Lepisosteus oculatus: one gene and its partners. The protein of the gene in region 1 interacts with the protein of each later gene in a pairwise test. Links are inferred from orthologs where the notes say so. Each region holds a gene or a part of one and is shown on either strand. Other genes may lie near its edges. The genes, in order: alas1, zmat1, lonrf1 and dusp19a.

Region 1 (7,507 bases):
GCATTTTGGCCAATGTAAAAAGCGTTGAATCATTAGCCACAAAGCAAGAGGAGAAAAGCAGCGCTGCATCTTTGCCATGCAAATCTGCTAACTCATGCTCCAAATCTACATGAAATTTGCTCGTTCCAGAGATGTTACGGGTTCCTCCCGCTCCAGCGCCATGCTGCCGTAAAGTATCCCTGTGGATAAAAATATCCTTATTAGTGCTTTGCACTTTCATGTTTATCAGCAAATCGTAAGGACATGCATTCATCTTTCCCGACAAGATCTAGGAGCACTCACATGATGGAGCGAACAACACGGGGGTGCCGGCTCATGCCCAAGTAATCATTGCTGCACCACACAGAGACCTCTTTCTTCGAGGCCTGCGAACCAGAGTAATCATCCGCCATCGGAAAAGTCTCTGCTCTCCTATTCACCGTTTTGAACACCCGGTAAGTGTGATCGTTCTTCTTGGCCTCGATTTTCTTTTCAAAGAACTTGTCATAATGGAAAGTAGAAACTGCTGCGGAGGGGGGGGGGGGGGGGGGGGACAGAAGAAAATGTTGTTAGGAAATGACTATCATGCACCTTTTGCAACATCTAACTTTTTAAAGGCAACATTTCCAAAGTTCTCTATATTTAACATCTGCAATAGCTGTTGAGTAACAATTAATGGCAACATTTCAGAGGTGATCATAAAAGTCAAGAAGACGGATCAGACATGTTGCGTGACAAATAAGTATTACATTATGATCGACGATTCGCTATCGGATAGTTTTGCTTACATTTGGGCATGTTATCCTGCAGAAGGTGGGAGACCCTGGTGGGACGTTGCTTCAGTAAATTCTTCAGGAGACTGCTCTGGTCCTCCCCATCCGCCTTGGTGATGTTGACCACAGTTGGGTTTACAGGGGATTCAGCCAACTCTGCGCAGAAAAAAAATACTTGTACGATTAAAATTAAAAACCCCAATTGTCAGCACCAGGTACGTAGAACCAAAGCCAAAATACCTCCAAACAAAGGTGAGGCAAGTTATACTGCATTAGGCACTCAATCAAGCAGATCTTTATTTAATTTCTGACTGCATTAAATACGCTGAGCATAAGTTAAGAGAACAATAGAAATCAGTGATGCGACTTGAACCCTCACCTTTCCGGACAGCATGCATCTCCTGCACATCCTCCTGCAGCTCCACGCTGGCCTGCCGGAACACACTGCTGTTTCCCTGCCCCATCTCGGCAGCAAGAAAAGGGCACTTGGAAGCAGCTGCCTGGCACGCTGGGGGCACGGGGTGGCCTGGAGGCAGACTGGGTTGCTTGGGAGGCTGCCCGGAGGCTAAATTTAAACACATGCAAATCTCACGTAAACAGCTCCGCAAAAAGCTTACATTCTAGATTTTACCCTTACACGGTCCCCCGCACGGACATTCACATTTCCACTAAACAAACGCTGATAATCTAGATATTCTAGATAATCTAGAATGATCACTCACTCGTCAATTTCACTACATGTCATTTTCTATTTTTTTATCCCCCTTCACAACTGAAGTGTAACCAACTGGAATGCGTCACAGAATGATTTGTTTCAGCTTCATCTTGCAAAAGAAACTGCCCTATGACCTTCAAATGCAATATAAATAACTAAAATGTGTTAATGTACACAGTAGTTTCACACACAAACACACTGCCACCAACATCAACTGCTCACCTGAATCTGTTGGAGAGGTTTCCTTGGTCTCCTGGCACTTCGCAGCAGACGTGGAAAGGGCACGAGCAAAGGGCCTAGATGCCAGATCCATCATCACAGGACATTTCTGGGCATAGAAAACCAGGGACTTGCCAGCTTTCTGGAGGAACGTCTGCGGGACCCGCGACAGGAAGGGACAGCGGCGAATGATGGTGTCCATCTTGGATGCTCTCAACCTGAAATACCAAAAAAATAATTAACCATGGCAGTTTCAGTCTAATTCGAGACCAGCAAAACGGAAAACTGCTACAGAACACGCAAGTAACCAGAGGTCAAACATCCCTTGCCACCGTGACCAGAACAGAGTCACGCACTCTTCTATTAAACTTATCGAAACTAATTCCCAAACCACACTGTAACATACTAGCCTTCAAGAACCATAAACAACATCACTTCAGCTGCTGATCACAAGAACAGGATTTACAAAGCTTAACTGCTCCTTTTATAATTCCAGAAAGACAGTACAGTTGTGTGTCAAATGCTAATGTAGATACTTCACATTTTATAAGAAACCTAAAATCGCATACATAATTTACATTTTCATTGTAAGTACAATTACCAGTCTTTAAAACACAGGATGCCTGACTCAAGCATTTAAGTCTGAAATTAATCATTTGTAAGACACATCAGTCAACCCATGTATCAAAATGTTCTTGATCTTCTGTAAGACCGCTGGACACCAGACATCTTTACTGTGCTCCACATACATCCATACATCCAAAAAGTAAGAAAAAATCTTTTGACAGAGATCTACTCATTTTAAACAAAATATGCTGTAACAACAAAACGGCAAACTTTTAACAGGATAAAATTATTTTATCCTGGTGTCAGATAAAATAAATATTCCAGAAACAGGATTTTGTCTTCCAAAAGATAGGCTTTCTGCATCCCTGTTCTACCTGAAGGTTTCCCATTCGTTTTTTAGAGAGCCCAACACAAACAGAGTACGGAACATGGCAATATCCAGGCTTCTGTCACAAATACAGAAAAACTGCAAAAAATGGATGCAGTCCACCCTTGTATCAGCTGCTACTGACATTCCCATAACAACCACTGGACCTGACAGCTTGGAGGGACACCAGGATAGAGTATCTTAGAAATCCCAAATGCTAAAATACAAAAAACAGACGCTTCAAGAAAAATCATACTATGTAATTTAAATTTTACATACCTGGGAAGGAACATTTTAATACTGCTGATGGCTTTTTGCTTTTTTCCTAAAATTTGTAAATGGTGCCGCATCAGTCTGTTACTCAAGCTTTTAAACCCCCAAAGCAAAACTATGACAAAGCTCCACCTACTTAACTCTACGTAAGAAGCTTCTTGAGAAATCAACTGTTTCGACATACCTTAGATCAGAAAGTTTCTGGGAGGGACTATGAAATCACAAAAGTACACCAAAAAGTATCAGATACAAAAACAATGACATAGTTGGACTACAACCACAATCCAGGACTACATTAACAATATTTACATGATGTGACAAACCGTTTAAAAGAGAAAACAAAACAGGAAAGAAATTCTTAATTTAAAGGTAGAAAAAATCTCAAGGAACGATTTTCCTATAAAAACTGCCTAAAACTCAATGCTAAAGGGGAAATTTAAGAAAACACCAACAATAACCATAGCTAGTTCACAGGCATTATTAAATATAAAACATATAAACTGATAAAGATTTTTAAGTCATAGATGTATACAACCATAGCAAATTTCACATCATCTAACAGGAAAAGGTATATGAAAAAAAAGTCTTAACCTTTCTATAATGAGAAAAGGATGTTTAAGATAAGGAAGTGAAATTTTGGTTTATACCAAGCAAGGAAGTGCTCTGCTCCTTGTTGTGTACACCTTACATCCATAGTGAAACCACAAACAAAAACAGTGTAATTTGCCACAGATTTGCACAAAAGTAATAGGCACTGTAATTACAGTATGGTGTATGGGTCTCTTGTGTGAGGGATATGGGCAAATTAAGGGCTCGATTATAATACCCAGGTATACCACACACTTATATCTGCACCTACATGAGCTGAAAACCGTTGTGGCCACTGAGAGGGCACAAACTTCAAGATGCGCTCTCAGTCCTGCATATTCTAGTTCAATAAAGCGCAGTCTCTTTTTTAAAAACATAAAGTAGGCTTGTGTATGGAAGGATCACTGTCATCTGACACCTCTGATCACAGGGAAAAAAAGGGTCACGCACAACCATGTCCCTGGAGGTACGTCAAATTAATTCCTGGGGTACCTGAAAAACTGGACTGGGCAGGGCATGTCAGGCCAATGACCATTACAGCAGTGGATTAGACACTGCTACTAAGTCACTCCTACATAGGTGTGAAGCTGAGAGAACAGCTGGTTAAAGAAATTCCTTTAATAACCTACATCTACAAATTCTAATGCGTTACGGGTCAAGTTCACATAAGTAAAAAAGTGGTAAATATATCCAAGTGGTATCTTTTAGATCTTTCAGATTATTCCCAAACTCCCTGTGTGCATCAGCCATGTGCAGTGACCAAGGGGGTCCCAGGTTCAAATCCGAGGTAGGAGTGTACTGTTGTACGACTTGCTATACAAAGGACTAAATATAAACGTTAAAAAACAAGACAGACTGAACACCGAATATTGATAAATCTGGTGCTAAAAAAACTATTTATGATGCCAGAGACCCCCTGTGATTTAACAAAACAGCACGCCGAATGGATACAACTGATGGATTTAATGATAAAATATTTACCCCCAAAAAAACCTATTTACAAACTAAGTACTCTTTAAAGAATAATTTAACCACATGTAAATAGTCGTGTACCACATACGGACTATAAGCAAAATTCTTTTATTTTCTTAAACACTTATGCATAAAAAGTCATAAACTACACATTTATGACAAGCTACCAAGGCGTTATATATATATATGAATCATTTACGAAGCAGGAAACAGAAGTTCATAATGGCCTTCAAGTCGGAAAAGAATACAGTACAGTACAGTAACTCCACATTAAATCTAACAAATCAAAACGCCTACCTTTCTTACCTCTGAGATCTTCAGGCTAAACTGTATGTCTTTTCCCGTGTGTCTATGACAATGAAAAACTTATTTTTTTAAGGGAAGGAGGCTTGTTATTTTGAATAGGCTGTACCGCCGGAAAAGATGATATCTGTTGCCCTGCACTGAGGACGAACGTAAGGGCATCGCCACGCAACCGGCTTTAAGGGAACTGCGCGATCGTCACTCTCGCGAGAGCGGCGAGCTCAGCTGCCGGCCCCCGCCTTGACCCAGATTTCTGCGTCACTACGCAACAGCCTTCCTGAGCCTTAGGGCGACGGTGGTCGTTTTCAGTTCGGTTAGGAAAGATTTGTGCCATTAATATTGACAGCCAGTGTCTTAAACTCTCGCCTGTTCCGTCACAGCACGGTTGAAAGTAAAATATAAATTTGTATAGAAAATTGTTGCTAGGGGTGGTGGGGACAGGAAGCTTGTCGAAAGAACACTGGCGTTTAATACCGACGGAAACTTCATTTGAAACATTTATTTTAGGCAAAGATCGCCCTCTGGGGATTGCAATGAGAATTTCCTACCAAATACGCTGTACGGTTTATTAAATTATATCTGCCATTTAGAATACGCTCATAAGAAAGTCTTAAAATACTTAAAATCGTTTGATTGATTTATTCAACAGTTCTGTATTACTGGGTTTACAGCCTGATCATTAAGCTTCAAACTCATGTTCAGTGTTGGGAAGGTTTTTTTTTCCGGCTTTGTAACATCATGCTTAACATCCATATACATAGTTGTCCCAGTCTGTTGCAGAAAACCAAGTCTTATTTTGTTTTTTTTTTACCAGCTTTAGAAGAATTCGGCGCTTGCTGGTGTATCCAAAAAAAGTTACAAGTTTACAAGTTACAGCATGTTAAGAACTCAGCTGCTCAGATTTTAACTAAAACTGTATTGCCCATTTTAGTTTCTGTCCAGTGATCCACTGTGAATTTCAGAATAAAACCAGAAATACTGCTGCTTGCTCTTTAATCCCTCTACACCTAGAGAGAGTAAGACACTCTTTATTATCCACAAAGGGCAATTAGTTTTAAATCAGGTGACAACAAAAAGAAAACACACACATACGATAGACATAAATATGAGCAAGAGAATCATGAGCAAGGTTATGGTGGCAGGTCAAAATGAGAAACTTGAACCTGTTTGTTTTTTAAATTGGGAAATCTGTATCTGCATTCTAAGGGGAGTAGTTATAATCCATTAAACAAATATTGTGAAGGGTCTTCTAGGATGGGATATGGTTTTCTCAAGTCTTGTAAGTAACAGACATGGGATAGGGCCGAAAGATCGGCATCAATGACTTTCTGACATAGGTCTGAAAGTACTCCCCAGTTTGTCCTTACTCCTCAGCAGATCATGGCAAATGTTAAAGCAGAATAAAATAAAAGACTGGTAATGCATGATTAACAATAAATTATTAGCGTTCTCAAGGAAAAATAAACACTGTTACCCTTTTTTGAAAATGTAATTGTTGCTTGTCTCAAAATTTAACCTGCAGTCCAGAACGCTTCCTAAATACTTATATTTATCCCCCAGATCCACTGATTTGCCCCTGATGCAGGTTTGAGTGGGGTCTGAGGGTTCTTCCTGAAATCAATAGCCATGTCTTTGTTTTCTACTGCAAATAGCTTTGTTCACACCAAGTGGCAAACTCATGCACAACTGGCCCATGGCCCCACTCATCTAGTTGCAACAAACTAACGGTAACAGAGTTATCTGCAAATGTAATTGTGTGTCTTGAGTGGTGGTAACTCATCCAATCACTTATATAGCGCTTTTTTGGTAATGGGGACTCCCCTCCACCACCACCAATGTGCAGCATCCACCTGGATGCTGTGACGGCACCCATAGTGCGCCAGAACGCTCACCACACATCAGCTCTCAGTGGGGAGGAGAGCAGAGTGATGAAGCCAGTTCATAGATGGGGAGTATTAGAAGGCTTGGTAGGGGCTAATGAGAAATTTGGCCAGGACACCAGGGTTACACTCCTACTCCTTTTGAGGAACGCCCTGGGACTTTTAATGACCACAGAGAGTCAGGATCTTGGTTTAAGGTCTCATCAGAAGGACAGTGCCTTTTTACAGTATAGTGTCCCCATCGCTATATTGGAACGTTAGGACCCACATAAACCGCAGAGTGAGCGCCCCCTACTGTCTTCCAGCAGCAACCTTAGTTTTTCCCAGGAGGTCTCCCATCCAGGTACTGACCAGGCTCACCTGATCAGGCTCACCTGACCTGCTTGGAGCTCATACCTGATCAGGGTCACACCTGCACATCCTTGGTGTGAGCCTGTGGAAAAATGTAGCTTTTCAGAAAAGCCATTACTGATTCTCACTCACTAAGTTCTTTCTGTAAAGAAATCAACAACTAAGATGGCAAGATTAAGATTAAGATAATAATGCTGAAAGTAAAAAAAAATGCTACAAATAGCAACCTAACAAGACCTCCAATTCATCCTGTTGTTACTTAAATTATGTGAACTTAACAAAAAAGGGGAGCTGTGGGACTTTTAGAGACAGAATTGGAAATATGTATTTCAGAATGATGGGTAAAGTCAACCTGAACGCCATGATTTTTTCCAAATGAAAACAGGAAATAGTTTAGAAAAGAATATGACATTTATAATGATACCGTTCATGCAATAGGGGGCAGTGTGAAACAGCTACTTAAAATAGACACAGCTACTTCGTTTTAGGAGCGCTCATTCTTAGGTTTTATAAAATTCCT
Region 2 (7,676 bases), on another chromosome or scaffold:
CGTGCAAAGCTGTGCACCCGCTGCATCCGCTGCCGCAGGTCCCACTCGTAGTCCGGTCCAGCCGGCGGTGCCGACCCGTCTCCGGGCGGCGGGCCGAAGACCAGGTCCACCGGTGTTCGCATTTCCCGGCCCAGCATGAGCGAGGCCGGGGTGCACCCGGTGGATTCCTGGACCGCGGTCCGATACGCCCAGAGCGCAAGGGGGAGGTGGCGGTCCCAGTCCCGTTGGTGCCGGGACACCAGGGTGGCCAGCTGGGTGGCGAGCGTCCGATTAAACCGCTCTACCAACCCGTCGCTCTGGGGATGCAGCGGGGTGGTCCGCGTCTTAGTAATCCCCAGGCGCTGGCACACTCTGGCGAAGACCTGGGACTCGAAGTTACGCCCCTGGTCACTGTGTAACTCCTCCGGCACCCCCAGCCTGGCAAACATCCCCTCCAGCAGTGCATCGGCCACCGTGGGGGCACTCTGGTCCGGGAGGGCGTAGGCCTCCGGCCACTTCGTAAAGTAATCCATAGCCACCAAGACGTAGCGGTTCCCGGCCTCGGTGCGCGGAAACGGGCCCAAAACGTCCACTCCCACCCGCTCCATAGGAGCCCCCACCTGGTGTTGTTGGAGGGGGGCCCGAGAGCGCTCGGGGGGACCCTTCTGCGCCACGCACACCGCACACGTTCGGCAGTACCGCTCCACGTCCCGGTGGCAAAGACCCCAATAAAAATGGCCTCGGAGACGCTGCAGGGTTTTTTTACCGCCGAAGTGCCCCACACCCGGTTGGCCGTGCACCGCTCGGAGCACCGCCCCGCGGAGCGACCGAGGCACCACCAGCTGCCACCGTACCTCGCCACTGGAGGGTACCCGCCACCCCCGGCGCAGCACCCCGTCCTTTACCTCCAAGGCCTCCCACAGGGCGCAGAGGGCCTTGACGGACTTCGGGTGCGGGGCGAGCTCCTCTCGTGTAGGCCGCACTCCTGCTGCCCTCCAGCGGAGCACCGGGCCCACGTCAGGATCAGCTGCCTGACGCTGCGCCAGGTCTGGCAGGCCCACCCCCAGCGGCCCCTCCCGGGCCGTGGCCGCGGCGCTCACCCCCGCCACGGTGCGGACAGCCTCCTCACGCTGCTCCCGCCGGGCGCAGTGATGGCAGTCCGCGGCCTCGCAGGGGCGCCGCGAGAGAGCGTCGGCATTGAGATGGCGAGACCCCGCACGGTGCACGACAGTGAAGTCGTACTCCTGCAGGATCTCTATCCATCGCGCCATCTGTCCCTCTGGCTCCTTAAAGTGGAGCAGCCAGGTGAGGGACGCATGGTCGGTCCTCAGCCGGAACCGGGTCCCGAACAGGTACGGCCTGAAGTGGTGGACCGCCGCCATCACCGCCAGCAGCTCGCGACGGGTCACGCAGTAGTTCCGCTCAGGCCTAGTCAGAGCCCGGCTATAGTAAGCCACTACGCGCTCCCCATCCGGCCCCTCCTGCGCCAACACCGCCCCCACCCCCGAGTCACTCGCGTCGGTGTCGAGAATATACGGCAACCGCGGGTCGGGGTAGGCCAGCACGGGGGCCCCCACCAGAGCTTCGCGCAACCGGCCAAAGGCAGTCTCACAGCCCGAGTCCCAGTCAAAACGGCGGCCCTTGTCGGTGAGGCGGTGCAGCGGGGCGGCGATGCTGGCAAAGTCCCGGACGAACCTCCGATAGTACGAGGCCAACCCCAGAAAGCTGCGGAGCTCCGCGACGGTGCGTGGAGTCGGCCAGCCCCTCACTGCGGCGACCTTACCTGGGTCCGTAGCCACCCCTCGCGGTCCAACAACATGTCCCAGGAAGGTCACCTCCCGCCGCAGGAGCTCGCACTTGCGGGGGTTGAGCCTCAGGCCAGCACGGCGGATGCAGGCCAGCACCGCCTGGAGGTTCGTCAAGGCCTGGTCAAAACTCCGTGCATGAACCAGCAGATCGTCCAGATATAACACGCACTGGTTCCGCGGAACCGATGCCAGCACCCTCTCCATCAGCCTCTCGAACGTCGCCGGGGCATTGCACAGGCCAAAAGGCATGACAGTAAACTGCCAGAGGCCCTGGCCGATGGAAAAGGCCGTCTTCGGGCGAGCATCGGGAGCAAGCGGTACCTGCCAGTAGCCGCAGCGGAGGTCCAGGGAGCTGAACCAGGTCGACCCGGTGATGTAGTCCAGGGCGTCATCTATCCTCGGCAGGGGGTAGGAATCTTTCCGGGTGACCTCATTCAGCTTGCGGTAGTTGACGCAGAACCTCCACGAGCCGTCTTTTTTTTTAACCAGTACGGCTGGCGCCGACCACGGGCTCGCGGAGGGCTCAATCACCCCCGCTGCGGCCATCTCCCGGATCTTTTCCTCGGCGGCGGTCCGCTTGGCGTGGACCATGCGTCCTGGTGGGATGCGGATGGGCCGAGCGTCGCCGGTGTTGATCTCGTGTTGGACCAGGGCAGTGCGGGTGCAGTCCTCATCCCTCGCCGCAAAGAGGTCTTCGTTCTGGGCGAGTAGCTGCTGGAGCCGCTGCCGCTGGTCCTGATCGAGGCCCTCGCAGCTCCGCTGGAAGAGGTCCTCAACGGCACGCTTCGCTTCCACGCAACGCTCGGCCCCCGCCGCCGCCTTGTCTGGCCCCCCGGCCGACTCAGGGGCAGGATCCGGCACGCTCGCTCCCCGGCTCGCAGGCCTGGTCTGCCCCGGCGACTGACGCCGCCGCCGCCGCCGCTGCCTCTTGTTCCCCCGGCTCCGGCAAGCCCGCGTCCCTCGGCCCTCGCCGGACCTGCCCTCCACCAGGTGCAGTCGCTCCCCCTGCCACACCAACTCCTGCCGGTCCAAGTCCAACCTGGCCCCCACTCGCTGCAGTAGGTCCAGCCCCAGAATGCAGTCCTCCTGGATGGGTGCAAGGTAGCAGGGGTGGCGCACCGTCGCTGCACCCAGACGGAAGGCAAGCACCCGTTTCCCCCGGACTGCAGCGAGCTGTCCCGTCACGGTCCTCAGCCGCAGGCTGGAGGCCTCCCATCCTGGGGGGTTGGTGCCCTCGGTGTCGGGGAGGACGCCCGGCCGAAGTAGGGTCACTGATGAACCGGTGTCGAGTAGGGCCAGGCAGGGTTGGTCCTCAATCCGGCAGTGGAGGTACAGGCCCCGGCTACAGCCGACTCGCCCCACGGTGGCGTGAGGGGCGCCGGTTTTTACAGCGCTCTCCGGAGCGGGGGTTGAGGTGTTCAAGGACGGCCTTCCCCGCGCTGAGCCGCCCCGTTCCCGTTTCCCGACGCCGATCGGGGAGAGCGAGGTTCGGGTGCCCGGCAGACCCGGGCTCGGTGTCCTCTTTTCCCGCAGCGGACGCAAATCAGCGTGCGGGGCTGTTCCGCGGCGGTCGCTGCACGGGCTGGCTCCTCTTCCCCCTCGCTGGATTCCTCCGTCGCCGCCTCGGTCAGCCGGCAGGGCGCACTGCGTCTGCTGGCGCTGCCAGTCACCCCGAACACTACCTCAGCCCGTGTAGCAAGGGCCAAGGCCTGCTCCAGCGATGTTGGCGCGGCCAGCTGCACGTGGCGCCGCAGCTCCTCGGGCGAGAGGGCCTTGAGAAAGGCCTGGAGAGCCATCTCCCGCTGCGCCTCCCGGGGGAAAGTTGGGTATCCTCGGCGGGCGAGGAACATGACATCCGCGGCGACCGGGCCCAGTCGCTCTCCTGGTCGGCGCCGCCGCAGGGCCAGCCTCTCCCGCATCAAGTCCGGCGCCTCCTCTACACCGAAGCGCAGCTGGAGGGCTGCTGCCAGCGCCGTGTAGTCGCCTCTGTCCTCCTCCGGGACGTCCAGGAGCACCTGGCAGGCCGCTCCTTCCAGCGCCGCCGCCAGGTGGCCGGCCATTTCCGCCCGGCTCCAGCCATTCGTCCGGGCCGCGAGCTGGAACTGCGCCTTATAGGTCTCCCAAGGCGCCTCACCATCGTAGCGACCTGGTCGCACCCGCGCCGATGGGTGTGGGAATCGCTGATCGGCTCCGGCAGGGAGGGCATCCTCTCTCCGGGGCGGCCGCCCCAATTCCACTGGCGGGACCACTACTGGGTAGCCCTGGTAAGGGCTGTGGCCACCTGTCGCACCCAGGAGTTGCTCAGGCTCCTTATGTGCGCCGCCGATGGGTTCTGCGTCTTCCAGCGTCAGCCGGCGCTTTACGGAATCGGGTAGTGTCTGCCACGAGTTGTTCATTCTGCCCGCTTCTGACACCAATGTAGCGTATTGCAGGTTCTTTCTCAGAACTAAAGAACAGTGGAGACGCGATTAACCAAGCACTGGCTTTATTTTACAACCACACCAAAACCAAACACAGGATCTACACAAACATGAGGAGTCTGACGAACACGTACACACATTTAGGGTGGTAATTACCTAACAACACACTCTTCTTTTACAGGACTACACAGGGTACTAGAATTACTAGGACATTATTTACACAGGCAGGGTCAGCCGCTGGTCATCGTGCTGACCCTCAGACTCTTCCCGGCTACCACTCCCAGCATGCCCAGCGGTACTACGAGCGCCTAGGGGCGCTTCCTCCTCACCACCAGGCGAGGGCGTTACAATTCAGTGCTCATGCCGATAAAGCTTGTTGAATTGAACCGAGCTGAATCAGGGTGCGCTGCACCCTCCAGCCAGCAGGGGGCACCGTGCTCTGCGGCGGCGGCCAGCCAGGCGGTCGTGTCCCTGCAGGACAGAGCAGTAAAGATGGAGCCGGGGATCACCTTCATCCCGCAGCTGGCGGAGGCGCTGGCGCAGCAGAGTCACTCTCACTCGAGCTCCGTAGCGGGAGCCGAGGCCCATAAAAACACACAAAACACCAATATTGCCCAGAGCCGAGGTGAGTTCAGAGAGAACGTGAAAGTGGAGGAAATAAAGCTTTGATCAGTGGCGGCCCCACGGCCGCGGACCAGGCCGCCCGTGGGAGTGGGTGGAGAGACTCGCAGGGGAGTGTGGAGTCTTCTCCCTCGGGCGCCGCGGTTTCTCCACAGACACTGCAGAGGCCAGCCGGTCCCGTTTCTCCCCGAGCCCTGCGTAGATTGAGTGGGTCCGATTTCTCTTCATTTTTTCTTTAAAATGGAAAGAAATGTTTGTTGTTGCTGCTGGTGCTGCTGTTGTCTGTCGCGCAAACCCACACAATCTGGACGCGGGGCTGCGGTCCGGGGGGGGTCGGTTCAGTGTCTGTGGGTGAGAAGTGCCCACGGCCTTCCTGTCATCCCCTGCAGGCGGTACCAGGTCGACATAACGACGTTAAAAACTTCACCGAAGCCAGTCGTACGCGCCCTCGACAGTATCACCTCAGGACGGGGTCAGGTGACCCAGCGGGTCGGTAACTGGTGGGGGCGGCGCTGGGCTGGGGTCCGGTTCGGTTCCGGACTCGGCTGGATCCGGCCCTGCCGGGGGCACCCTGACCGGCGCGGTGCGACGAAAGTTTGAGCTCTGGGGGAGGGGGAAGAAAAGACCAGTTTTCGCTAGTTCGTCTGTTCTCCTGACTCCAGGAAGGTGCCGGCAGCCCGGTGTTGAAGTTTTGAAGTCCTCGCACGAGGTGTTCATGAGGCGGTTTTTGGGGTGCCTGCCTAAATCCCAGAGCTTCACTGGGGTGCCCCGGGTCTCCCCCTGAGCTCCGTGAAGAAATGCCCGCGCATTGATCACGGTTCCGAATGAGGGTTCCCGGCGCTGCTGCTCGTGGGTCGGAACCGAGCCCCCGGCTGCAGGCAGAAGGAAGTAGCTGGTGTGCGATCACGCGTTTGTGTTCTCCGAGTGACTGTCCGAACTGGACCGTCGATGCCAGCAGCACACTTGGAGCCTAAAGGGGCAGGGCGGCCCTCCGCCCGAGCCCGGAGCCCCGGCTGGGTGTGAAGCCCGCCCGCCCGGGGGAAGACGTCTCCTCCGCAGTCTTGTTGGTCACGAGGGGTGTGTGCAGGCTGTGAGCGGTGAGGGGCAGCGTGTGGGCTTCCCCGCGCCCTGGCCGGCTGGGCGCAGGCTCTCGGGTAACGCTTCCCGCGGGTTCTCTTCGGCTCGTCCCCGAGCTCTTCGAGAGACCCCGCTGGGCCAGGAGGGCTGGGGGTTCGGGGGCGGTGGCCTGTCCAGGGGGAGTGTGCATGCTGCTCCACCCAGGGGTGCCCAGGCCTGCTCCTGGGAGGTGTCATTCCCACTCTGCTCTCGGTGACATAAACCAGCTGCTTACTGGTTTAACTGGGCCAGGGCCACAGCTTCTCTGAGCTCTGCGGGTGCTGTGGCTTTAATCAGCCCTTGGAGCCCTGCAGGCGCAGCGCAGCGCCCCCTCCTGGACCAGTGTGATAGAGCCAGCCTGACTCCTGACATACACACACACCGCAGGCGCAGCGCAGCGCCCCCTCCTGGACCAGGACTGGACGCCCCTGCTTTAGACGCAGCGCCCCCTCCTGGACCAGGACTGGACGCCCCTGTGTTTCTTTTTCAAACAGACCTTGAGACGCCGAATGGGCTGGAGCTCGTCCCCATGTGCATCTGATTTAGCTGAGTTAGTTTTGCATTTGAATTTTCCAAACATCGTGAATCAAATACAATAATAGTAAATGTTCTTCACCCCACTTATCAGTGGCCCCTCCCGATTCCCCCTCGGGGTCTCCAGGCACGGAGCCACACAGGACAGCTCCACATCCGTGTCTGGGAAGGCCAGGGAGAGGAGAGCAGAGGGTCCCGGCATGCCATTTTTGCCTCCCGAGTTTTCGATGTTTAACATGCGGAGACACAGGTAGTATTTCAAACTAAGTTCATGTAGCTCCCAGACTGGAGGTATAGGAGTTACGACAGTTTCCACTGATACTGCATCGCGTCCATCCTCGGATCGCGCGGTTCTGTTTTGTTTTTGACCTGACTGCCGGTAGTTTCGATGAACACTGGAATCTGATACTTCCGTTAGGTTGCGCTTCGTCATTCTCCAGAACATGACAAAGTAAGACAGGGCCGTTCTGCTCATTGAGCCCGTCTGTCGGACGGCCTCGCAGTTCTTACTTGTGCTAAGGTGTCCTCAGTTTCCTCGCTTCTTGTCAGGCGCCTGCTGTTTGTCACCCTTTATCTTTCCATGACACCTCCACTGTCGTGCAGCAGGACGGCACCGCGCTGGGGCCTGGGCTCGGTTCAGTTTGGATGCTCTTCTCATGGACGAGAGGTGACAGGGCCCGAGGCAGAGTCCCGGGTCAAGCAGGCTTTTGTTTACACATTTCAGCAGTCACCCTGTGTGGAGGCGCTCTGCATCTAACATCTGACGTGATGTTAATGAGGACCAGCTGACATGGAGCCATTTAGATCTGACTGGTAATTGTGACAGATTAGAAACTAGAACATAGGGACATGAGAAAGGATAGAAATGAGGTTAAAGTTTGGCCCATTTAGTAGTTAATAATTAATCCCATTATCTCATCCAGCTGATTTGTGCAAGAAGCAAGGGTATCAGCGTCAACAACATGGCTGGGCAGCTTGTTCCATGCTTCCACAACTCTGTATAAAGAAATACCTCCTGTTCTCAGTTTTTTAAGCACTTCTACATATTGTCTTCTTGGGCATTCTGGTTCATGTTTCAGTGTTCATTCCCCTGAATAGACTTTTACAGTGCCTTTGAGGATTTTGAATATAGTCTTCTCTCTGCAAGCTGAGATCAGGTTTCTGAAGACTGATCAGTGTGAATTAAAGATTGTTCACC
Region 3 (6,887 bases), on another chromosome or scaffold:
TTCATGCTGTTCTATTGTTATTACTATGTGTTGGAACAAGACAGAGAGGCCAATATATCCAGAAAAGCAGTTTTTGACTTCCTGTGTGTATGGATTAGGATTACCATCTGTCGATGTCAACAGTGGACCTATTTACACAGGGCAGGTGTCGAACAATAGGTGTTATTTCTGAATGGCCAGGATGTTTGTCTTCAATTTCAAACTGCTAACAGACCTTCACAAACGGGTCCCCATATTTTTAGATGAGGCTGAATAAAAGAAACTCAGGAAGGAAGAAGAAACAGCCCAGCGCTGAGGCAGCGTGTCGCAGTAGAAGGAAATGGGAAAGACAATACAGTCCAGTAAATCAAGAGGGAGAAAAGTTCCGCTCACCCTCAAAACACTCAGCAGTGTCATATAGCCATTTGCATCGCAAAAGCAGATTTGCATCCAAGAAGGTGCAGAAAAGGGTTAAGAAACAAACTTACATCACAGAATGAAATGCATGTAAATGGTGATTAATAGCTCGATAGCGGTTGGTTCTCCTTGGGCTGTTGTCCATGTTTTCATTCCCAGAACACTACTGCAATTGCATGCTCAAGGGCTCCCTCTAGAGTCACACAGAGGAATATCACCTACTAGAACTGCATGTAAAAAGCACGCCCTGCCCTCCAACGGCAAACCTGCTTCTAGTATTTTCTTTGTATATTTTAACTGCATAATACCAGCTTGTAATGAATAAGGTCTGCTGACAGAAGTGATGTGCATGCACCTTTTACACTGCTGCACAAAGGTTTTAGACGTCTCAGGAACAGTCGGCAGTTGCAATATAAAGAATGCCTCATGAGCATCGCTACTTTTCTCAAAGCCTCAGCTGGTTTACTTCTATTATGACAACTTTGATTGTTATTCATACACATTAGCTTGGTTGATGTTAAACCAGATGTTTAATTTAGCAGTGTTTAATTCACACTGATTAGATCTTCAAACACAGGGTCAAAACTCAAGGTAGACCTAGATTCTGGAAATGGACAGGCACTACGAAGTGTTTTAGGAGCTAATGAACCACATTGATCAATCAGAACGAAAAAAATTAAATTAAAGGGTTGCTTTTTTGCACTACAAAAACACAGAACTATTAAGATTAACTGTTAGCTTAAACAAAATAGGTAATATTTCAGTGTGCTTCTGCATAACGAAGGAAGAACTTTGAATGAAAAAAGCAGAACAATTCAGAATGTCTCGAACTATGCACAGCAGTGTGTATAGAAGTGATCAATAGTATAACTTATCACAGTACTACATATAAGCATTAGCATATTTAATCTATGAATTATACCTAGAACCCCTCCTGAAAGACGCTTTCACTTTGACCAAACATCAACATTTACTTCAGTGAAAAAGACAAACAGATATCTTCATGCTCAATGTTTTCACCTGCTCATTGTCTGCAGAAGGTGCAACCGATTAAGATCCAATACTAAGAAATGAGAATAGTAATAATAACAGTCACAAGCAGACCTAGACACCAACCCAGACATGAGCAGGTGCACAAGCTGACTAGTACCCAGTGACTAGTGACAACACATTCAGGCCTCCCTGACAAATTCCATCTGACTTACATTTATTAATCATTTTATATTTCCTTCTTCAGAAACAATTTCATTTGGAATGTTTTCTCATCCCGCATATTGTATTTCAAAGAATGCGACTGAATCCAGTAAATAAAGACATGCACTCCTATTATTACATAACAGACCATACAAAATGTTATAATTAACTCTTTTCTTTTTTGTTTTTCTGAATGATAGGATTTCCTCAGTCCATCAAAACCGCAAACCATCTCCGAACGAACAAGCATCTACCACTAGGTGTCCCCATGACTCTGCCACCACTGGAAAAATACATTTAAAACCGAATAAAGTAAACTTCAGATCTAATAATCATATCATTATTTTTAATGTTATTGTTTTATTATTTTAAAGTATAATACTGTTACAAATGGGGGGGTGGTTGAAAATGGAGAAAATCATTAAGTGACCAAGTGGATAAATCAATTAGTTAATTAATCAGAATCCCCAACTTGTGAAGATTTTGGCAAGGATACACCAGAGAGGTTGGAATAGTTTAATTAATTTTTTTGTTCTCTGGCATAGCTTTGGTTGAAAAGACTAATAACTCAGGCACACTTGGTTATACACATATTTATTAAGAGCGACACACAGGGAATACAGACACTAAGCAACACATTACATAGACATACTACACACAAGTTTCCCTATGTGCAAATTTACAAAGAAGGCATCCCAGTGGCTTAACATTCTGATCTCCCAGAGAATCCCAGACTGTTAACAAGTCTATAATGTAATGCCTACAAAGGCCACAAATAAGAGGCTGCCTTCTAAACTTAATAGAATATTTCCCACAGTTATATCTTACCTTGTTATGAAAACCCAGAATTAACGATAACAGGCCAGAATAAATGGAAGCCTATCTCCCTGTTCTAAAATGCAAGCACTAAAGAGGAGAGGCCGATTTTAACCAAGGGATTCTTCACTCAGAAAATCTGAGTTCCCTAAAGACTACAGAAGAGCATGCTCTCTTGGCAAGGTTGAAATACTGAGCTTCAATCTGGTCTGCTCAGCTGATCTGGGACAAAGAGCTTTATATTAATATTTATTCAAAAGGGGCAGGGGGGCTCTTTTAACGCAGCAAGCGGTGCGCCGTACTGTAACGCAGACGGCCGACATGGCAGGTTGTGCGACCCGGCTTGCCAGCGCGGTGACGTCACCGCCATTCCCTGTGAATAGCAGGGACCGCAGCCGCCGGGCTGACGGGAGATCTCCCTTTGGCTCAGCTGGCTGGGTCCCTGCTGAGTGACGCTGGAGACCCGGGTTCGGGTCCCCAGCGGTGGGGGGCCAACCTGTGGCGGCAGCGAGGGCGCATACCCACGTGAGCCCGAGAGCCCTACAATACATTAATACACTACAAAAACAAACCAAAAACCAGAACAGATCAATAAAAACAGCAAACCATCCACAGAAGTAACTGGAAGTAACAGTGTGTAGTATTTGGGAAGGGACTAGTACAGTACACGCACATTTGTAGGGGAGGTTCTGTCCAACAGACATCGTGCTGATAGGACTTCTATTCCCTTCCATTTTGTCCTGCACAGTGGGCAGCAAAAATGTCTTCCCGAAGGCAAAAGTTCAAAAGACCGAAGAAGAATATGAGCCGAGTCTTTAATGATGGCACAGGCCTTCCTCGGGGTCAGCTGGTGCGGAAAGCTTGCCGATATCTTCAGAGCTGAGGTTTACAACATTTCGAAGGCGGGTCCATGTCAAATTCCACCATGAAGCTTCACGTGAGGCATGTAAATGCGCAGTCACGTGGGCTGTACCGTAGACGCTGCGCGTTAATCGCATCTGCTGTGGCAACGCTGTCTTTCATGGGCCCTGCCAACAAGCGCCCCATGTATCTGAAATTAAACAACTCAGAAAACAAGGCAGGCTTGGGAGTCACATTACTCTACAGGTTTCTACAGACATTGTGAAAAATACAGGGGGGTGGAACAGGGCAGGGTGAGCAGTAATTGTGCAGGGCAGCTCTTATCAGCTGGTGATATAACAGTTTTTGTCAACACTGGCAGCACCAGGCTCTTCCAACTTGAACATGAAGGCTGCCAGCCCCCCTCCTCTGCCTTCCTGGCAGTGCTGTGACAGCTGAGCCACAGTGGACGGAGTCGGGGGGGGGAGGGGGTGAGGGACGCCGAGCAAGCCGGACAGGGTACCCCAGAACCTCTGCACTCCCCCCCCACCCTTTCTTCTTCTTCTTCTTCTTCTTCTTCTTCCTCCTCCTCCCCCCCGGTTGTTATGAAACCCGCACGGCGAGGTTTTGTAACCAGGGCTCCCCCCGGCAGCCAATCACAGCGCCGCCCCGCGGACCACGTGACGGCGTTTTTATATAACGGGCCGGCGCCGGGAGGCCGGCCAGCGCGATCCGCCGAGGTGTGCTGCTGTCTCCGCGTACGTGTCCCGGTAACCTCCCGGGCCACAGCCCTGCGGACGCTCGTAAGGCGCTCACCCCGCTCTGAGCATGTCAGTCCTGAACCCGGCGGCGGACGAGGCGCTGGGAGAGAGCAGCGGCGGCGGCGGCAGCAGCAGGAGGCGGCGGCCGGGACCCTCTCTCCTCCTCCTCGCCGGCCCGGCGGCCGCGGACCGGGCGCACCGGCAGGGGCTGGTCCTCCGCCGGGCCGAGGAGCTGGCGGCGCAGGACCGGCTCAAGGAGGCCCTGGACGCGTTCGCCCTGGCGCTGAGGTACGGCTCCGGCCGGCCGGAGCAGCTGGGCGCGCTGGTGGGCTGCGTCCTGCGGAACTTCAAGAAGGCGGAGGCGGCCGGGGAGCGCAGCGCCAGCCCCGCCGCCGAGCCCCTGGACTGTCCCGGCTGCGGCCGGCTCCTCTCCGAGCCGGTGACCGCCGCCTGCGGCCACACGTACTGCCGCCGGTGCCTGCAGCGGGAGGTGGTGGCCCGGTGCCGGCGCTGCGCCGAGAGGCTGGCGGCCCGGCGGGGCGACGGCGGGGCGCCCCGCACCAACGTGGCGCTCTGCCACGTCCTGGAGAAGTGGGTCCCGGGCGGGCCGAGCCGGGCCCGGCTGTGCGCGGAGATTGAGGGGCTGTGCGGGCGGCGGCGGTACGAGGAGGCCCTGGCCGTGTCCAGCGGCGGCCTCAAGGCAGGTGAGCTCAAGGGGCTGCTCTCGGCTCACACTGGCGCTGGTGGTGGTGGTGGTGTTGTTGTTACTGGGGCCTGTTCGCGGATCTGGGGTTGGGGGGAGTGTGTCGCTTCTCGGGGCGAGAAGGGGGGGGGACGGTGTCGTGGCCCTGGGATGGGGGGTGCGAGGGAGACCTGCTGACCGAGCCCCAGAAACTGCACCCCGTCTCTCCCCACGGGTGACCCCGCGCTGACCCCGCGTTGTGTAACTCCGGCGGCGCATGCGCGGCAGCGGCGGGGGTGTGCTGTTGTGTAAGCGGGGTCGTGACCCGAGAGAGGTGGTTTTATAACCCGCGGGGGGGGGCAAACACACTCGTGTGCGGAGTGCATGGGTGCCCGTGTGTTTCCCGGCAGCTGCTTGGGTGCGGGGTGGGAAACAACACGTTTCCCGTGGAGTGGGTGGGGACGGTGATGACGTGGTGTGAGGTGTGGTGAAGCGCTTTCCCGGACCACGGCTGCCACACGGGACGTGGTCGCCGCTGCGGCTGGCAGGAGGGGCGCGAACGCCGTGCTTCTGTGCGTGGGGCCGCTCTGGGGGGGACGGTGTCTCCAGTGGGGGCTCGGATGAGCGGACTGCAGCTGCCGCGTGTGAAATCCAGCGAGCTGGAGTGTAGAGAGGCTCGCAGGTGGAAGAGCACGGGGTGGACACGGGCCAGGGCAGAGGACTGGGAACACGGGCGTCACCCTGTCTAGAGCTCAGAGGGAGGAGGGTCACCCTGTCTAGAGCTCAGAGGGAGGAGGGTCACCCTGTCCAGAGTGCAGAGCCCCGCTGCAGGGAGGGGTCACCCTGTCTAGAGCTCAGAGGGAGGGGGGTCACCCTGTCTAGAGCGTGGGGCCCTGATGTCGGTATCCTATTTCTAGTAGTTTTTTGCACCATCCTCATGGTTAGCTTCCTGCTTTCTAGGTTTCATGCAGCCCGACCTGAACCCCGAAGGCCAGACTTGTTGTCTCTGTGCCTTGTGTCTCTTTCTCCTCTTGAGGCAGGGCCCCCCGTTACTCATGTTTAGTTTGTCAGAGGGAGCTTTAAGATGTATTGTTTTACTGGTGTCCGTCAGCTTTCAGTGGGACAGATGCATTATTTCAAGCTGGTCCCCCAGATCTGCTTGCACATGATTATTGTGGCCAGTAAGTTTTATCTGGCTAAAAACAAACGACAGATGTTGCATACAGTATTGAGAGAATACAGGGAGGAAGTACTGCAAATCTGTATGGAAAGGTAAGGGTTGTGCAAGCATATGTGGTATTTTATCACTGGTGTTTGTCACAGGAAATTGAAGTTAATAATTAAATGAAGTGTTTTGGTCTTATAACAGCGTGCAACAAAATAATAATTGCTTACACTTATATAGCGCTTTTCTGGACAGTCCACTCAAAGCGCTTTACAGGTAATGGTACTCCCCTCCGCCACCACCAATGTGCAGTGGGGAGGAGAGCAGAGTAATGAAGCCAATTCATAGATGGGGATTATTAGGAGGCCATGATTGATAAAGGCCAATGGGAAATTTGGCCAGGACGCCGGGGTTACACCCCTACTCTTTTCGAGAAGCGCCCTGGGATTTTTAATGACCACAGAGAGTCAGGACCTCGGTTTTACATCTCATCCGAAGGACGGCGCCTGTTTTACAGTAGAATGAAGTTCTAAGGACAGGCTGTGATGCCAGAAGTCAGGCTGAATCTCGGTTTCTTCTGCATTTTTGCACTGTCACAACACTGGAGCACTATTGTTTGTTTCCAACACAACTGTTGATGTTGATATTTAGCAGATGGCTTTGTGCGAGACTGCCTGCACAGAATCATCACAGTTTGTGCAATAGCTTGTAATGGTCAACTGTCACTTGGTCAAAGTGCGGCAGTCATCATATAATTGAAAACAAGTATTACAACAGTTGACAAGTTTCCACAGATGTGGATGATAAAGTATCTATCTGGGCAGCCGGGCAGTTCCTGCGCGAAGCAGTTCCACTCCTTAGTCATGGCTGATGAATTGACAGTAAACACCCTGGCGATGCCTCTGTGGATGTGAGGCGGTGTAGTCCTGATGAATTGCAGGTGTCGGGCTAATCTGTGAAGATGAGTTCTGGGAACACGCTGGAAGACTTCCATAGTCCTCTCCCGGCGTGTCGCAGTTCTGGGGTGTGAGAG
Region 4 (7,657 bases), on another chromosome or scaffold:
TGAGAGGCATGAAGTAAGATCCAGAACCATATACAAATCGTGAAAATACCTTCATACTGCATCTACGTTTAGTAGATGTGTTGGTCAAAAACATGCATCCATCCATTTTTAACCCCTTTTTCCAATTCAGGATCACAGGAAAACCTATGCCTATGCCAGCAAGCATATTGTATTCCCTAATTACAGCAAAAAATGATACATAGCCATATTATTAAATAAAAATGAAGTTTCTCTCCCTGTCTTTGTTTGTTAGAGTTGGTAAATGTAAAGGAAATCATCACTGGTTATCTTCTCTTAATTTTCTTTAACCTCTTTAATGAAGTTGCATTTGTTTCCTCATAGACTTGGCACTTACTATACAGTATATTAAGAAAAGGTGTTTTCAACACATATGTTAGCTGAAAACACAATTTCATTGAAATAGATTATATTTTATTATACCTAAAAGGACTTGAAAAAAATTAGCCTTTAGAAAACCTCTACATTTGCAAGAGAACAATAAGATGACACACTAGTGGAGGGGAGCCCCCATTACCTGTAAAGCGCTTTGAGTGGAGTGTCCAGAAAAGCGCTATATAAGTGTAAGACATTATTATTCATTATTACTAGTATTCCATGTAATTATAATCAATAAAACATGATGTCAGAATTAATTGGATTGCAAACGAAAATGGTGACAGATCAATTTTAAGTGTAAAGTGGAAACTTATTTTTAATACATGATGTAATTATATACTGTACCTCCGTGAGTTCCTTTAATGCAATAGAGTAAGGCAGCTGATTACCATGACACTGGTTTGGCAACAAGGCTGCATGAGATACAATGGCCTGTAGAGATATGATCGTTATCTACCTACTGAATAATGGATCATGAAAACTAGCACTGCCATGTTGATATCAGGTGCAAGGAATGCTCTGCACCAGCAGACTGCGGGGTATCAAATAGGCAGTCTCCTAAAACTGACCACTCAGGAAATTACTGCAAAGATTTAGTTAACGAGATTATCAGATTTCTTCATTAAATACATTAACAAGTGGCATGGTGGCACAGTGGTTAACACAGCTACTTCACTGCCCGGGACCCTGGTTCAATTCCGGACCTGGCATCCTGCTGTATCTGCGTGGGGTGTTCTTCCCGCATTCACATGCATTTTCTCTGGGGGCTCCGGTTTCCTCCCACAGTCCAAAAACAAACTGATAGGTCAATTGATGTCTGGGACAATGGGCCTTACAGTAGGTGTGAGTGTGTGCGTGTCTGTGTCAGTCTGCCTTGTACCTGTTGCTTGCTGGGATAGGATCTGGCTCTCCTGCAACCCTGAGGCAATTAGAAAATGGATGGATGTATGGAAACACGCTGACAGGTCTCCTAGAATTTTTTTAATACATGATATACTCCTTACTTGCTTTTTAACTAATCTAGCAGTATGATTAGATGAACAAATTGTTACATACTTTCTTAAATTAAAATAAATGAAATATAACTTAAGTTTGTGAAAAGAAATTACAATCTAGAGATCTATCAAAGGGGACACCCTTTTGTTTCGTAAAGTAACATACTATTTTAATGCAACAAAAGTATAAGGCCTACCTGTGCCTTGACCTGCTCTATAAACTCTGAACATTCCTGGAAATATGAGGTAATGACAGTCTCTGGAAGATCCAGTATGGAAAGCTGCTTATAAACAAACTGATCTTGAAAAGTGTTTTCAACACCATATGCAACATTCAATATGTGTGTAACCTGAAAAAGATCAACAGTAAATGTTACTGAAAATACACTCATCGAAGGCCAATGTGTAAAGAAATTTAAATATCATACAGCAGACACTGAAAATAAATAATACCTTAAATTTCTTTAATATATCAAAGTCCTGGGCAACATCTTGTGAGGCTAGAACAAAAAAGAACACTGACATCAATGTTTTAGTTAATAATAGTTGTCATTTTCACACTAATACTGCAGTTATTATTCTAGTGTTTTAACACTAGAAGGGAAGATGGTTGGCTTATTACAGGAACCTGAGAGAGTGGACATGTATGCTACTTAGCGTAACTCATCCATCCATATTAAGTGCTTGAACAGAACTACAGTTTTCTTTAAATAATCTAAAATCAGAGCCCCGCCTCAAAAGACAAGCATTTTACAGAGCATGTTTTAAATGTTGCATCTCATATGCAATTCACAAGCTTCTCTGATAAAGGGGACTGTATTAAAAACAAGTGTAGAAAGTACCATAAAAAACATTTTTTAACTATTCATTGATAAAGGACTCATTTAAAATTAATACTTTAAGCATATACCAAAGTTCATAACCAAAAACACAACACTGAAATTAAACATCAATGTATCTTAATATACAGTAACTGATTTGTGCTTCCAGAAGCGTTTCTTACTTGCAGTGCCTTGTTTGCTATCCCTGAAGTCAACAGCTGCTCTAACTTCTTAAAATAATAAGGCATTTCCCCCATCCATAGTAAAACTTCAGAACGCTTAAGCTAAATGGAATTGAAAACTTAACACGTGGTTCAAAAATGAATTCTGACAGCTTTGCTGCTAAGTGCAATTTTTTTTTCTTAAATCTGTGTGAATGACATTTGACAATGCAAAACTATTTGTCTCACCAAGCAGTAACCAAGGTTTGACGATACCGACTTGGAGATCCAAACTGAGATCCTGAACATATCCACAAGCACCTTCGGGTTGTACGGTTTCTTCAACCACCTGCACAGTGGAGTCTTTCCACGTTTCTATTATTCTTTTCCCAGTTAAAGTCGTTACCCTGGTACATTGCTTTTTCAGTGCCGACTTTGAAAAAGCCTTTATTTCTTGAGCAAGCGAATGCATTACATGTGTGTTACAGGAACAGTTCAAAGCAGAAAAAGTCTACAGTAACTCAGCTGTCCACTTGCCGCAATGGGATTCCAATACGCTCTTGTACTTCACCGAAGATCTCATCACTTGCTATCAACTGCCTGAAAACCGAGAAGAAACCATCTGTAACCTAGATATATTTTTGGGAGCATGTAGTACTTTAAAACATCGCCACCTGTAGGTGCGGAAGTCTATGGCAGCGTACACCCCGGTTATCACCAATTGCTGCGTACTGTACTTCATTCACAGAAGAAACAGGCTAGTGTTCATTCCCAAGAACTGACTTCCTAGGCGTCACGTTTACTGAAAATGGATGGCTGGATAATTCCGAGCTTCCTCTTAGAAGAAAAACGTGTTATTTTTTTAGAAAACACAAAACACATTAAACGACCCCTCTATTAGAATCACGTTATCTTTCGTCATATTTTAAAATATTAAACATTATATTAGCACACAAATAATTCAAGTGTAATGTAAATATACCTAGACAGAATGGGTAAAACTGATTAATTTAGTGGTGAATATAAAATGAAAAAAAAAGTATCAAAATCAAGGACGCGATGAAAACAGTCTTTTTGTATTAATATATCAATATTTTTTTTATTTTTAGTGGAGATAGCACAGATAAAAAACTTGAAATAAAGGATATCCCACATAGATTTTATAAATCTATTCTATTTATTATATTCTATTGTTATAAACTTAAATATTATAAACTTCAAATATACTCAGGAATATTGGATGACATATACCATATTTTATGTTTAAACTAGATATATTTCGCTGTTTTTGTGATATACTACTGTTGTTATATACAACTGCATATTGTTTTTGTGAGACATGAGGCATTGTAAAAGTATTCACACTCTTCTAATGATATAGATATGAGAAAATAAAGCAGGAAGTAATGTACAGTAATGTACATGTATTTTGATATGAATTTGATAATGTACATTATCACATGATTGGAGATCATGGCGAGTACATAAAGTGTTATCCCTTGTAATGTCTGAAAAGGGTGCCCACCAGATGAGAGACCAGCATCATGAAAAATGCAGTTATTATTTAAATAGGGTCAAATAATCCCTGTGTTTTTTTGGAAAACTACGTGTTTATGATGCTTGAGTATTTGCATTAAATTAATTACTTTGTGCACCTTAATAAATTAGGTTTTCCATAGCGGTGTGTGTGGGGGGTATGTACTTAAAGTAACTTCAATTTTAGATTCTTGTTTGCAGTTTTTAGTATTTATTATATTGATATATTCACAATTAAGTTTATTTATGTACAATATTTAAATCCCTGATCCCTGGGTTCAATTCTGGACCTGGGTTGCTATCTGTGTGGAGTTTGTATGTTCTGTTTATGTGTTTGCATGGTTTCCTGGTGTGAGTCTGTGCGTTCCCTGCAATGGACTAGCATCCTACAGTATCTTAGATGTGTTCTGCCTTATACCCATTGCCTGCTGGTATAGATTCCAGCTCATCCATAACTCTGTATAAACCCTGTATTGGATAAAGTGGTTAGAAAATGCTTAAAAAGGTGTATGCATAACTTGACCCATGATAAAGAATTCAATAAAAAATATGATAATGGTAAGTCTGTAAAGCAGTCTTCTACTGACATTTAGGAAAATAAAGTGCCTCGGAGTTTCAGTAGTTGCTTTGCTCAGGATAAACGCGTATTGTGTTGGTGGAAAACAGAACATCTCCCAGAGAAGAAGCCAATGTAACGGACACAAGCACCACAGTCAGCGTATAAATAATCCCTACTGAAATTAAGAAGTAGTGGGCCATTTTAAAATTCGAATCATTATCTGCGGTATGAAAACACTGTGCTAGTAACAGGCTGTCAATTTGGACCACAGAGGCGGAAATCAGTGCAATGGGAGTCACGTGACATGCGTCGGTGTTGCAGGAAACGGCCTCGTTCTGAGAGTCAGGGCAACACCTAGAGAAAACAGGGAGACAGCGGAGGGCAGAGCGGGGGGGAGTTTTGCGAAGCTGTTTATCCGTAATATGGGAAGAAAATAACACTAAGACGCTCGGGGTCATAATAGGTCCGAATCACACACTACACAGCGAAGGTTTTACGGCGTGCTCCGTTTTGTGAAACACTAAGCAAGCAGCATGTCGAGGGGTGTGCTGCAGCCAAGCCAGCAGAAGCTGGCGGAGAAACTGACCATCCTCAACGACAGGGGAATCGGGATGCTCACCCGCATTTATAACATCAAAAAGGTAAGGTGGCGTTATAATGCACAGGGTGCTTGTTTTCGGGGGGGTCGCAGTCCTTACGGTAAAGTGTTCTGTGAGCATCATTGTTTCCTAGACGTTTGGAAGCCATAGCTGGCATTGCAACATGACTCTGCAGAGCCTGGGAATGGGGATATGGACAGGAAGAATGCACCCAAGGCCTGGAATGGCATGTAACACAAGCAGTGTACTGAAAAGAGGAAATTACTTCAATTCTTGTTATTGGCGGCCAGTCTGTGAATTAAATCTGGCAGATCTTTGTTTTTGGTTTTTTTTTTTCACCTGCTGGCAGAGTGTTTTCATTCTCCGCGGTATGGTGTTTAAAACGCGAGCTTAAAAGCCCCTTCGCTGTTTTGTAGTACATAGCGAGCTGTGTAGCACGTCAGCATGTAGAAGAATGGTTGGCGTTTCCAGTTGTTGTGAAGCTTTGGAGCGATGGGCAGCGAGAGTGAAACAACTTGTTTGCACCGAGACCGCAGCGTGAGACATCGCGACATAATTGTTTCTCGCTGTGTGGTTGTGTGATAGTTTTGATTGGTAAGCTCATCACGGCAATGTAGCATTAATGTGGGCTCCATAAAAAAAAAATGGACGGTAACATTTTAACTTGTCAGTTTATTTGTATAAAAATTGACATTGCCCTTCGTTGGTGATTTTAGTGCCCTAAGCCGTATTGGTGGAGAGCTGACAGCGGAGGAAAGCGTTAGACTGCGTCCTGTTTTTGTTAAATTTCATGGCTGGCAGTAGGTGACAGATTTTTTAAATCGCTCGAGTTATATATTAGTGCAAGAGGAATCAATTAATAAAATGTACACTTAACCGTGTATTTTTTTAAAGCTGTAGTTTACCCATAGATTCTTAACAATGCACCTCAATATTTTGTATCAGTGTATTTTGGAAAGCTGCTGAATTATAAAATAAGAATTGATTTAACGCCTTATAGCATTTCTGGATTAAATACCATTGGAAAAAATGCATGAAATACAGGAAATATTTATTAAGCTTTGTGGGCCGTTTCTATATTTAACATGAATATTACTCAATACTTTTAATTGAAAAACAAAACAAAAAGCACTATAATCATATAAATGGCGTAGGGCTTAAAGGAAGATAATTTACATTTGATAGAAGAGGAAGACAGACATACATCAGGTAATACTTCTATCCCGCTTAATGTGAGTGAATCAGCACATATGTAGGGTGTTGGTTTTTTTATGTCTGGAAACTTGCAGAAACTTCAGGAATACACCTGTATTGTATTGTAGTGTCCTATTTGTTTTTGTATTTCTTTTTTGGCCCATAAGTGTTTTTCCCTAATTTGTCCAGTTTTAGTGTCAAAACCTAATTTCTAACTTCTTTGCAGAACAAAGCCAGGAATTTTAGTTTTGACATGTCTGGTTTAAATCATCAGAATAAAAGTATAAAATACATGAATGAGGTAAAAGCTAATGTTCCTCTACAGATCCTCTAGGGGGAAAACGTGTCCCTGTTAACTGCAATTTACAGAAAAGAGTACATATCCTAGCAGGTTCTGTTGTGTGCATTTGTTTGTGGTCATGTGAAGTGGACCAAAATGTATTTTAAAAGGGTGTGATTGAAACAACTTATCTAAAGATAGCCTACATGTACAGAGATATTTTGTGTGTTTTCATTGTAATGTTTTCATTATTTTTGGCACTTGTAATCTATATGAATAATCAATGTGGTCTTTTTTCTATTGTTTGGTCAGAAGTTATTTTTCTTAATATTATGTATTGTTTGTCGAAAAAGTAGGCACATATTTAATGTTCAGTATAACAAAATAAAGCATAGATCCAGATATTTACCAGTCATCTTTTGCAACATTGTTTTAGATATGAGGTTGATTTTTTTTAATAGTCACATTTAGTATAGTACTCCACATCTTACTCTTACTGGAATGCAAATGGTCAAAAGACTACATAAAGCAAAGTGAGATGTTTTGTGAGTTAAAGGCTTTTGCGTACATAGGCTACCTATATGCATAAAGGTTAAAAAAAATCTTCTTTGGTCTTGCTGTTTGATTGATAAGTTAAAAAACTGAATGTCTGAAGCTTATGCCATGCCAAAAGAAACAGCACATTTCCTTGTTTTATTTACCTTAGTAATGTTATTGGTTGACATATTCTGCCATTTTGGGCACCATACTGTGTCAACTAGTAGACAGCTGCAGATTTGGATAATCCACAAGCATCACAGACACTGTATGCAAGCTTCATGCAGAAATCACATAATTGTAGCACATTTTCCAGCCAAAAGGGATCCAAGCTAATAGAACACATTAGGCAATCCATGTTATGCTTATTTTTCAGATTGTCAGTTTTGAATTTCTTGATATTGACTTTGAGAGCTTTCCTAATTTTTTAAATTTCCGGTTTATGCGTATTGAATAAGGTCTTGATTAAAAATTAGGAAAATTAAAAAAAAAAATACGTTTTTTCAAATATGTAAGGACAAACACCAAAAACAGTACTTTTGTTTAATACCTTGCTCATAAAACTTTTTATATGTACAA

What was found.
Region 2: the proteins of alas1 (region 1) and zmat1 interact in a two-hybrid assay, tested with the Homo sapiens proteins (2 studies listed by BioGRID). The two-hybrid records come from large-scale screens. The link is inferred for Lepisosteus oculatus from reciprocal best matches to the Homo sapiens genes ALAS1 and ZMAT1.
Region 3: the proteins of alas1 (region 1) and lonrf1 interact in binary tests that used the Homo sapiens proteins (3 or more experiments, as listed by UniProt). The two-hybrid records come from large-scale screens. The link is inferred for Lepisosteus oculatus from reciprocal best matches to the Homo sapiens genes ALAS1 and LONRF1.
Region 4: the proteins of alas1 (region 1) and dusp19a interact in a two-hybrid assay, tested with the Homo sapiens proteins (3 studies listed by BioGRID and IntAct). The two-hybrid records come from large-scale screens. The link is inferred for Lepisosteus oculatus from reciprocal best matches to the Homo sapiens genes ALAS1 and DUSP19.

What each region holds. Positions count from the first base shown.
Region 1 is NC_090699.1:61,335,517-61,343,023, forward strand, and holds the start of alas1 (5-aminolevulinate synthase, non-specific, mitochondrial), read right to left. Parts: upstream 3,004-7,507; 5' UTR 2,971-3,003; coding exon 2,900-2,970; intron 1,905-2,899; coding exon 1,690-1,904; intron 1,318-1,689; coding exon 1,132-1,317; intron 909-1,131; coding exon 768-908; intron 506-767; coding exon 283-505; intron 180-282; coding exon 1-179.
Region 2 is NC_090698.1:74,562,842-74,570,517, reverse strand, and holds the start of zmat1 (zinc finger matrin-type protein 1), read left to right. Parts: upstream 1-4,673; 5' UTR 4,674-4,699; coding exon 4,700-4,832; intron 4,833-5,236; exon of another isoform or gene 5,237-5,317; intron 5,318-7,676.
Region 3 is NC_090696.1:77,520,755-77,527,641, forward strand, and holds the start of lonrf1 (LON peptidase N-terminal domain and RING finger protein 1), read left to right. Parts: upstream 1-3,883; 5' UTR 3,884-4,074; coding exon 4,075-4,711; intron 4,712-6,887.
Region 4 is NC_090707.1:18,462,038-18,469,694, reverse strand, and holds the start of dusp19a (dual specificity protein phosphatase 19), read right to left. Parts: upstream 3,001-7,657; 5' UTR 2,846-3,000; coding exon 2,623-2,845; intron 1,892-2,622; coding exon 1,845-1,891; intron 1,742-1,844; coding exon 1,589-1,741; intron 1-1,588. Other genes in the region: nckap1 (nck-associated protein 1), read left to right, coding at 5,002-5,109.